2 linked regions of the Drosophila melanogaster genome follow. The protein of the gene in region 1 interacts with the protein of each later gene in a pairwise test. Each region holds a gene or a part of one and is shown in the gene's direction. Other genes may lie near its edges.

Region 1 (4,843 bases):
TACCTTTCTATTGCATGCATGCTTGCCGCAATCACGCATTTGCTTGCATTTAGTCTCGCATGCAAACTCTTTGGAGCAGGGCAACTCCTTTTCGTGCAGACCACAACGACACTTCTTTTTGGTTCTTATTGGGCACTGTAAGAAACATATTTCATTAGAGAATCGATTTGCTTCCCTGGTGGCTATCTTACGGAAATGCAAGGTCCACGATGACAACGCTGGGTGCAAGTGTGCTGGCCACAGGACAAAAGTTTTTGGCACGTATCGCCACAGGTTTCCTCTGTCTCATTACAGGGTCTTACCTGGGTCTACAGAATTAGGTAATCATAAATGAATATAAACTTGTAAATAAATATATCACATACATTCTTGCCGCATGGGCAACTCCTGACTTGCAAAGGACACTCTCCATCTCCGCAGGGTCCAGCGTGACACACCTTCTCGCAAATGTGCAAACCACAAGCAAATGGAGCTCCACAAACCTGAAAGAATATTAATGTTGTTTTATGCTTCAGCTTCAAAAGGCTTTTCTTACATTCTGACACTTCCATTTCCGATCGGAGCAGTTGACCATCTTCGACTCCCGCTGGCACTCGCAAGGTTGTAAGCTTTTGCTGGTGCATGGAGGACACTTTCCTGGCTGATGACACACCTGATTACATTTGTGCTTGCCGCAGGCTAGAAGTTCCTTGCACTGGAAAATCATTTTTTTAGTATGGTGGTCAGACAAAATTTCTTAAAACGTTAAGACTTACAGTCTGCTGACACGTCCACTGCTTGTCAATGCACCTCACGGACCTAGGACTAGATTTACCACACAGGCACGAGACCTGCGCCTGCTGCGCACAAGGAGGACATGGCCCCGGATGACATAGCAGCTTGCAATCGTGCCCACACTTCGGTTGCAAAAGCTTTCCGCAGTGCTCTCCGCATGAGTGGGGCACAAGGAAGGGCTGGTTCTCGGGGTTCACCTCCTTGCCGCAGAAGCAGTTGTACTGCGTGGGCTTATCGGCCGGTTGGTAGTCCCTGCGGCACTTGGGGCAGCACCAGTGAAGGGATTTCTGTCGCTTGGGCGGCACAAATTCGCCCAGATGATTGTAGTGGCCCTGGCCGTTCTGCTGCTCTGCCGCCTTTACCTTCATCTGCATCATGCTGTCGTTGGCCCACCGTTGGATGCACTTCAAGTGAAAGAAGCAGTAACAGCTCTCGCAAGACCAAATGGCCTCCACCCGCCGAATGCTTCCGATGCAAATGAGACAGGTTGCCGCTCCCGAGTGTAGAGTGTTTTCCAGAAACGTACTGGTGCGTGCCGCTTCCTTTGAGCTTCCTGCGTTGTCCGACGGTTTGTAGTTCTTGTATAGGAGTTCTGAAAAGATAAAGCACAAAATTTGATGGTTTTCAAATGACACGTCACAAGCATCGGTCGATTTACCCAAAATGTGATTCTCATCCAGTTCGCCTTCATCCTCGGAGCTGGAGGCGTAGGTGTCCACCAGTTTTTGGGCGGCAGCCAAATTTTTAGCTTGCGCTTTATTAAACTTTTCCATTTTTAAGCCGGCGTTTTTGTCTATCAACTGGGAATAAATTCCTGGGGTAGAACCAGGGATGGCTCGTTCTCTGATAACAGCAATTAGGGGATCTAGTTCCGAAAGGTACACATTTGTGTGAGCTTTCAGTTTCCAATTGGGAATTTCATTTAATTCAAAAAAAATACATACATACACATTAATACCTAAATTATCAAACATCCTCTCTGCATATTTTATTGCATTTAATAATTTGGACCAACATTTTGAAGTTTACAATTAATAGGTCAGGTATCTAATGTGGCAGCCCTGGTATTCGATGTTAAACATCTGTTCGTGAGTGCGACACCCTGGAACAGCTTTCACATCATTTGCAACAAAATAAAATAGAGAAAATTAAATATATCCAGACATACCGACTACGATCCGATCCAAGATGAGTTTCCTAAATTACGTGTTTGGCCCCAACCTCTACATGGAATACCGCGGTGTGCCGGAGCCGCAGCGCAAGATGTACGAGGCAGGTGCCGTGGAAAAGTTCGGGGAGCAGATTCTATCGACGGTAAGTGCCCTGCGATCCCATGGGGCAGAATCTGGAGCATATGGTAATGTGGAAAATCGACACTCTCCGTTGCAGCTATCGGTTATGTGGTCCGTGGGCTATTATACTTCTCCGCTGCTCGTCACATTCCTATACCGACGCGGCTACCTGGTGACCGATTCCATACCGACGCTGGCCAAGATCACCACCAGCGTGGGCCTCATCGTCATCCTATCGCTGGTGATGCGCGGCCTGGGGCGCAAGCAATCGCGCTCCTACTCCAACATGATTAAGGCCCTCGTCCGAGCAAAGTCCTCCAAGGCACCAGGAGATGCCAACAGCGAGCTGCGTCGCTTCGACATCGAGTTCAACGCTTGGCCGGTGGACTTTGATGTGAAAGCTCTAACCGGGTGAGTGGGCTACGCCTTTGAAGTGTGCCAGAATAACATCTTCGTTTTCAGTGATACCAAAAAGCCGGTGGTTACGGCTAGAAGGCGGGAGCCCATCCAGCTGGCGACACTGCCCTGTGAGGCCATCGCCTACCTGGCCATAAACACCTTTGGGCTCTCCATGATCTATCCGGGTTCGGTCAAACTACTCCAGAAACTTATGAGTAAGAAAGATATACATATGTGAAGCTGTCTGAAATGTTGTTAAATTGCAATCCGATAAGCCCATAAGATAGACTTCTACATATACTGAACCTAAAATATTTTGCAGGACCCATGCTGATCTCCGGACGCGCCAAGCTCATCGAGGATGACAACGGCATCCGCTACAAGGTTAAGACCATTGACTCGAACGAAATCGATACGTTGTTCATTGACAATCGCCCAAACAACGTGGGAAATGGCAAGACTCTAGTCATTTGCTCCGAGGGCAATGCCGGTTTTTATGAAGTGGGCATTATGGCCACCCCAGTGGCCTTAAAGTATTCCGTTTTGGGCTGGAATCATCCCGGATTTGCCGGCAGCACAGGCACTCCTCATCCCCACCAGGACAAGAACGCCATCGATGCCGTGGTGCAGTTTGCCATCAACAATCTTAGGTTCCCCGTAGAGGATATAATTTTGTATGGCTGGAGCATTGGTGGCTTTAGTACACTATACGCTGCCTCTGTGTATCCGGATGTCAAGGGAGTGGTACTAGACGCCACCTTCGACGATGTGCTCTACTTGGCCGTTCCTCGCATGCCAGCTGCACTGGCGGGCATTGTCAAGGTAGCCATTCGAAACTACTGTAATTTGAACAATGCCGAACTGGCCAACGAGTTCAATGGACCCATATCCTTTATTCGCCGCACTGAGGATGAGATCATTGCAGAGTGAGTGATAACTTTTGCATTTGGGCAGAGGTCTTTCCTAAAACGTAACCCATTGATTTCCATTAGGGACAACCACATTGACACAAACCGCGGAAATTTCTTGGTCTTGTCAGTGCTCAAGCACCGGTATCCCAACATTTTTGGGGCTTCCCAGTTGAATAAGGCCAAGGGGCTGCTGTCTAAGCCCCTGGAACCATACAGTATCCCCGTCGCCGACGAGAAGCTGTGCATGTCGCGCCTGATCACCTACGCCTCTGACGAGGGCAAGTCATTCCCCATGAACATTGGAGCAGATTACTCGGAGGAGGTGCGCAATCTGATGGCTGTGTTCTTGGTGGGTTTATTCGGCAGTTTAAATGGTCTATATATCTAATACTGTTCACCTTTCAGCTGCGCAAGCATTTACGTGACTATAACTCGACGCACTGCACCCAGCTGCCCGGGGAGTTCTTTACCATGCCGTGGGACATACCCACTGAGCAGGGATTTGTGTTCACCTAAGCTCATTCCGCAGGTGATCCACGGCCGTATGCTTAGATTTAGTAAAATGGTTTTTAGTAATTTTTGCCTTCTGACTGCTTATTAAATTATTCTAACTGGGAACAGCCGGGTAGCTGGTGTCTTCTGAACTGGTGTGAAATTATATACAAAATAAATGTCACAAGCTAAACTAGACGCGTCGTCTTGTGGTTAGTTTCTATTTCATGGTACAGCTAAAATTGGAGGGGAGGGGCAGTTCAACACTTAGTTCCTACGAGTTCTTCTTTGATCCACCGAAGCCGGAGAAGCCCATGATGGCGGCCATGTCGTCGGGCATGCCGCCGGACTCGAAGTCCGTGTCCTCGGCCTTGCGCTTCCGCTCTTTTCGCTTCTCCTTGCGGTGTTCCTTGTAGCGATCCTCCTCCTCCTTGGCCTCCCGCAGGCGGCGCTCGAGCTCGTAGTCTTTCTGCTTCTCCTCCATCTTCTTCTTGTTCTGCTGGAAGCGCTCCTTTACCTGGTCGACGGTGCTCCGCTCCACCTTCATGGACATGCCCAGATTGCGCTGGTGCTTCTTGCCATTGATGTGGTCCAGAAAGTTGATGGAATCCTTGACCACGCAGTCGCAAACGTTGCAGTAATAGCCACCGGATTGCGAGGTGGGTGTGTTCTTGTTGATGACAACGCTCTTGCCCAGCTTGCTGTCCAGGTCCACCTTATAGTCGCGTCGCTTGAGGTTCTCCCGCTGTACGGGTTCTGGTGAAAAACAAAAAGACTTTTATTATGTGTGCCTTCCAGGGAATTTAGACACTGACCTTCTTCCTTGGGTGCCACCTGGTTGAGCAGCCGCTCCGCCGCCAGCTTCTCGTACTCGTTCTTGTCCCATTTCCTTCGGTGGTCATCAGGTCGCATCGTCATGGTGGCGCTGGGATGACAATTGCACTAAAATCTATTCGGTAAAAGTAAGGCAATGAA
Region 2 (4,412 bases), on another chromosome or scaffold:
TATTCATTAATATTATATTCTTGGTCAGCCATGGATGTCTTTTTAGCTGGAAAACTAAACTATGGTAACACATTGTAACCTTTCTACTCCACTTTTAAAATGATGTACTGATCATTTTGGTCTCCTTTCGCGGCTTATTCAAAATAATTCAGCCACAGCAACAGTTTAAGGCCAATCTGTTCAGCACATTCACACTACGCTCATGATCCCCGTAAACGGAGTACCCGCATCCCATGCCAAGTGCCCATTAAACCGCATATATAAATCACCATTAATTTGACAGTGGATTTTTACATAACTCAGGCCAACAGGTGAAAGCGAAAAGCGCACAGCTGCCGGCGGACAGTGGAGAGATCATGGTGTGTCATGGAAAACTCGCCACTTGCACTCGTGGAAATTGACTGGTCTCCCCGAAGACCCTGCTCCTGCTCCTGCTCCACCGCCTCATCCACCACCTGGAGGAAGAAGGAGGAGGAGGCTGGCATGCAAAATCGAATTGTGTGCTAATATTTGGCCAAAATGCAAAGAGCCCGCGGTTATCGCTGCACCACGAACATGACGAAGTGACTCCAGATGGGGAAGTTTTCAATGCTGCCGCTGCAGTAATAAAAATCATTACTTTCCAGCCCAAATTGGCAAATGTTGGCAGCGGGAGAATGCGAATGCAGGATTTTCGCCTGATCGACATGCAATGTCAGGGAAATTGCTGTCAAATGGGTAAAAGTTGCAGCAACACTATGGAAAAAATCAGCGATTTTGGTGAAAATGATGATGGCAAATTATGAAAGGGAAAAATACTAAAGATACGCATTTAACAATAACTTATTCTAATATTTATTTTCTTGAGCGAACTTAGTGAAATGGGATCTTAAACCTTCGAGGGAGATGCCATAGAAGAAAGCTAACATTGGTATGAAAAAACTGTGCCGTAGCAAAACATGGCTTTTGTTTTAGCCCTAACCGCAGATAGATGTCCCAGCTAAAAGCTTTTCCCGAAAAATTCCGAACGCCGATACCCCCATAACCACCAACACATGACAGGCACAATTTCTCAATTTTATTTAGGAGGCAAGCAAAGAAATCTTTTACTTTCACTGACGACGCACATTCTTGAAGCGCCGCTCGGCCTCCGTGGAGCTGCTCTGGAAATTCTGCATCCAATCCTCATCCGAATATTGATGCCGCCAATGGCACAATTGGGAGTTCAATTCCTTTCGCTGGTTGAGAAACAGTGAGGTGCGTGACTTGGGCACGACTATCATATTGGTCAGATGCATCTGCATGTCGCGGTACAACTGCCCCTTGCGATTGCGTTTGTCCAGCGACTGCTCCCCTCGCAGATGCAGATCGTTGGAGGAATTGATGAGTCTCAGGTCCGAGCTCGACTTAAGGATCAACGATAGATCGGATTGAGAGCGCTTTAAGCCATATGACCCGCTCGTGCAGGGCTCCTCATTCTGATTGATTGGTTTAGGTATCAACTTGCGCAGTTCTTGCACTTCCGCCGCCAAGAAATCCAGGCGTGCCTCAAGTCTGGTCAGTACCTCACTGGGTGTCAGTTCTGAAACGGGAGTGGTCGCCACAATGGGTCCATCGGCAAATCCATCAGTGCGTTGCCTCGCATCCGATGGCAAGAATTGGGGGGAACTGGTTGCCGCATATAGTCCTCTGTTATCACCCACTTGTTCTGCCTCTATATAATGCCCAGGTGGTGTGTGATACTCATTCCGGTGGGTCATTATGTCACTTAATAAGTCTGCTGAAAGTGGCACAATTCGCTTCATTCCGGAGGATTTTACTTTACTTTTAATTTGGAAACAAACTAGTTGAATTATATCTGAATACACATGATATGGCAAAAAAACCTTTGATTTTTGATTGAAAGGGAAATGGACACTGTGCAGTGTTATATATATTAGTTCAGAGAATTGTATGCATAGTTTTTTGGTAATTGTAAATTTGCAGAAGTATATAAAACACGACTAGGTTTATTGTAATACCAAGATTCCCTCCGAAGGTCAAAATTTTTTTAAGTTTTGTAGCTTGTTACTTTAAATTGATTGTTCTACTGCCTATTAGTTGGAATAAGCACCTTTTATAATGTTGTCAAATATTTTCTCAGATAAACAAAATTTGAATGCACACAAGACACTAAGGAAAGTCCGGCAATCCGCATAATTTCAAAGGAGTTCCTTCGAAAAATTGTCAAATGTTGTAGGGTCCTCGGATACCTGGCAACAGAAATGGAGCTCGGAAGAGACTTCATCAAAAGGACGTTAGAATTGTCACGTATGTGAAATAAATAGAAATTATATCCACTCGCTAAGAAATTCCTTCTGAACTCAGAATGCCAATAATCAAGAAGTTCTGCTATTGTTTTAGTCTAAGAATTGGCGCATTTTCAATTGCGTACGCAGGTCTTACAATGGATGTATTAGATACAGTAGCGACTATATATACTAAGTCGCAATATTGCGCTGATATACTACTCCTCTGGATAATTTCCACCATTTGGAATATCATTTCCGCATTGGTTCTTTTGACTGCACTTTTTCGGGTAAGATCAATCTGCCATGATACATTTAGCATCACTAGGTATCTGAGCATCCTTTGTTTCAGGAAAATCCGCATTTGCTGCCAGTTCATCTGGTGACTTCTCTTTGTGGCCTGATGCTCGAAATGACCAATCACATGGTGATTGCCTCCCTTGGCAGAACCGATTACGTTTTGATATCCTATGCGTTCATTATGATTGCCTGTAAGTGATGGCCCCCTCTTGATCACATCTACTTCAAAAAAAAAAAAAAAATCGCCCACAGTTGTATCTGCGGACGTCGTGATCGTGCTGAGCTACTACCAATCGGAGGTTTAGTGAACCACTCCGATTACCCATTAACCCAGGCAACCGACCGGGCGCAGCATGTAGCATTTTGTGGTGCGCGATTAGGCGCGAAAATTTATTTGGAAAATGTTGCGCAATCCGCGCCGTGCATAAATCGTGGCCAATTGTCACCAGCGGATTGGCAACCGAACCTCAGCGACCTGCGTTTAATTATCGCCCCGCCAGCGCCCGCCGAGCTACATGCGTGCTAATTGACCAGGCTGCAGCTCAACGCTGCTCCAATCCGAAATCCGAATACGAATCCGACTCCGACTCCGAATCCCCAGTCCAAGTCCACGTCCCAGTCCCAGTCCCAGTCCCAGTCCAAATGTCCAAATGATAACCGCGACGATGAAAACGCATGCTGAGCCAAATGAAAATTATGTTGCAATGGGGCAGGCGTGCTGCTCGCTGGCTGGTCAGTGAACCGCAGTTTGCACCACCATCCATCCATGGGGCTTAATTAATTTCCTTGATTAATTGAAAGTGCGCCTTGCTCGCAGTATTTTCGTTTTCTGTCTTGCTTTTTTTTTTTTTGTTTATTTCTGGGCCATGGTATGTTTATGTGTATTTTTGGCAGTGCAAAGTTGAAGGCAATAAGAAAAATCGCCCCGGATTCGATTCGGTAGTATGTGATGGGCGTTGCCCTGGCCAACCCTTGGCCATTACTCTTGGCCCGAACCGTACCTTTCCATTTTTCCTCAGCTGGTATTCGATTATGGCCGGAATTATGATCCTTGTTGGTTGGATTCGGTGCAATTACTTCGGGATGCCCTGTAAAATGTAAGCAACTTTTTAAGTTGTTGTTTAAAGCGCTTAAAAAATAAGTCAGTAGAATTACTCTTCGAAATAAAATCTTAAAAAACAATGTCTCTATACAATACCATTCGGGTCATTTTCAACATAAACAATGATCATACATCACCAGCGAATCGGAACCATAATCTTTGACCTTGTCAACCCACTGAGAGCAGCAAGTACATCAAGATAAATTAAGCCTCAATTGTGGATTCAACATCAGGCCAACTAACATCCATCATTCCAGTTTTATGGCCGCACAATAGAACCCGGAATACCCAGCGAGTCAATTTTGCAGCGGCAACTAAGTTGCAATTCAACTTGCAACGTTCACCGAAAATTCACTGATTTCATAAAATATTACGATAAATGTCGCTTTCAACATTTATAAGCCAAAAGGATTTTAATACTTTATTGCTTATAACCGCAAAGCGACAGTAAATGCTCCTACTTTAAGAAACAAAATGCAATCGCATTGAGGCGAATCGAAAATAAGGAAAACAAGAAAAATGAATTGTCTTCATTTTGTAATTTAATGGTATTTTATTGAATTTCTGATGCGAATGGGCAGGGACAAGGCGGATTGCCCCCATCCTTGGGGTATCTGTATCTGTATCGGAATCGGGATCCCATCCCATCCCATCCGATCCGATCTTCCCCAGCCTGTTGACATTTAAAATATGGCCGCGTGTCAATGCGACTGCCCTACGCCCATTTTTAAGTCAGGTTTACA

Evidence for each region.
Region 2: the proteins of CG1309 (region 1) and ms(2)35Ci interact in a two-hybrid assay, tested with the Drosophila melanogaster proteins (one large-scale study listed by BioGRID).

Annotation. Positions count from the first base shown.
Region 1 is NT_037436.4:4,257,581-4,262,423, forward strand, and holds CG1309 (uncharacterized protein), read left to right. Parts: upstream 1-1,849; 5' UTR 1,850-1,962; coding exon 1,963-2,088; intron 2,089-2,163; coding exon 2,164-2,477; intron 2,478-2,528; coding exon 2,529-2,680; intron 2,681-2,787; coding exon 2,788-3,391; intron 3,392-3,457; coding exon 3,458-3,725; exon of another isoform or gene 3,726-3,781; coding exon 3,782-3,892; 3' UTR 3,893-4,063; downstream 4,064-4,843. Other genes in the region: CG15011 (uncharacterized protein), read right to left, coding at 4-135, 192-308, 366-482, 536-694, 756-1,366, 1,433-1,547; CG11586 (uncharacterized protein), read right to left, coding at 4,143-4,624, 4,684-4,786.
Region 2 is NT_033779.5:15,290,390-15,294,801, forward strand, and holds ms(2)35Ci (male sterile (2) 35Ci), read left to right. Parts: upstream 1-2,078; 5' UTR 2,079-2,289; intron 2,290-2,346; 5' UTR 2,347-2,347; coding exon 2,348-2,557; intron 2,558-2,619; coding exon 2,620-2,758; intron 2,759-2,819; coding exon 2,820-2,872; 3' UTR 2,873-3,747; downstream 3,748-4,412. Other genes in the region: CG15260 (uncharacterized protein), read right to left, coding at 1,092-1,784.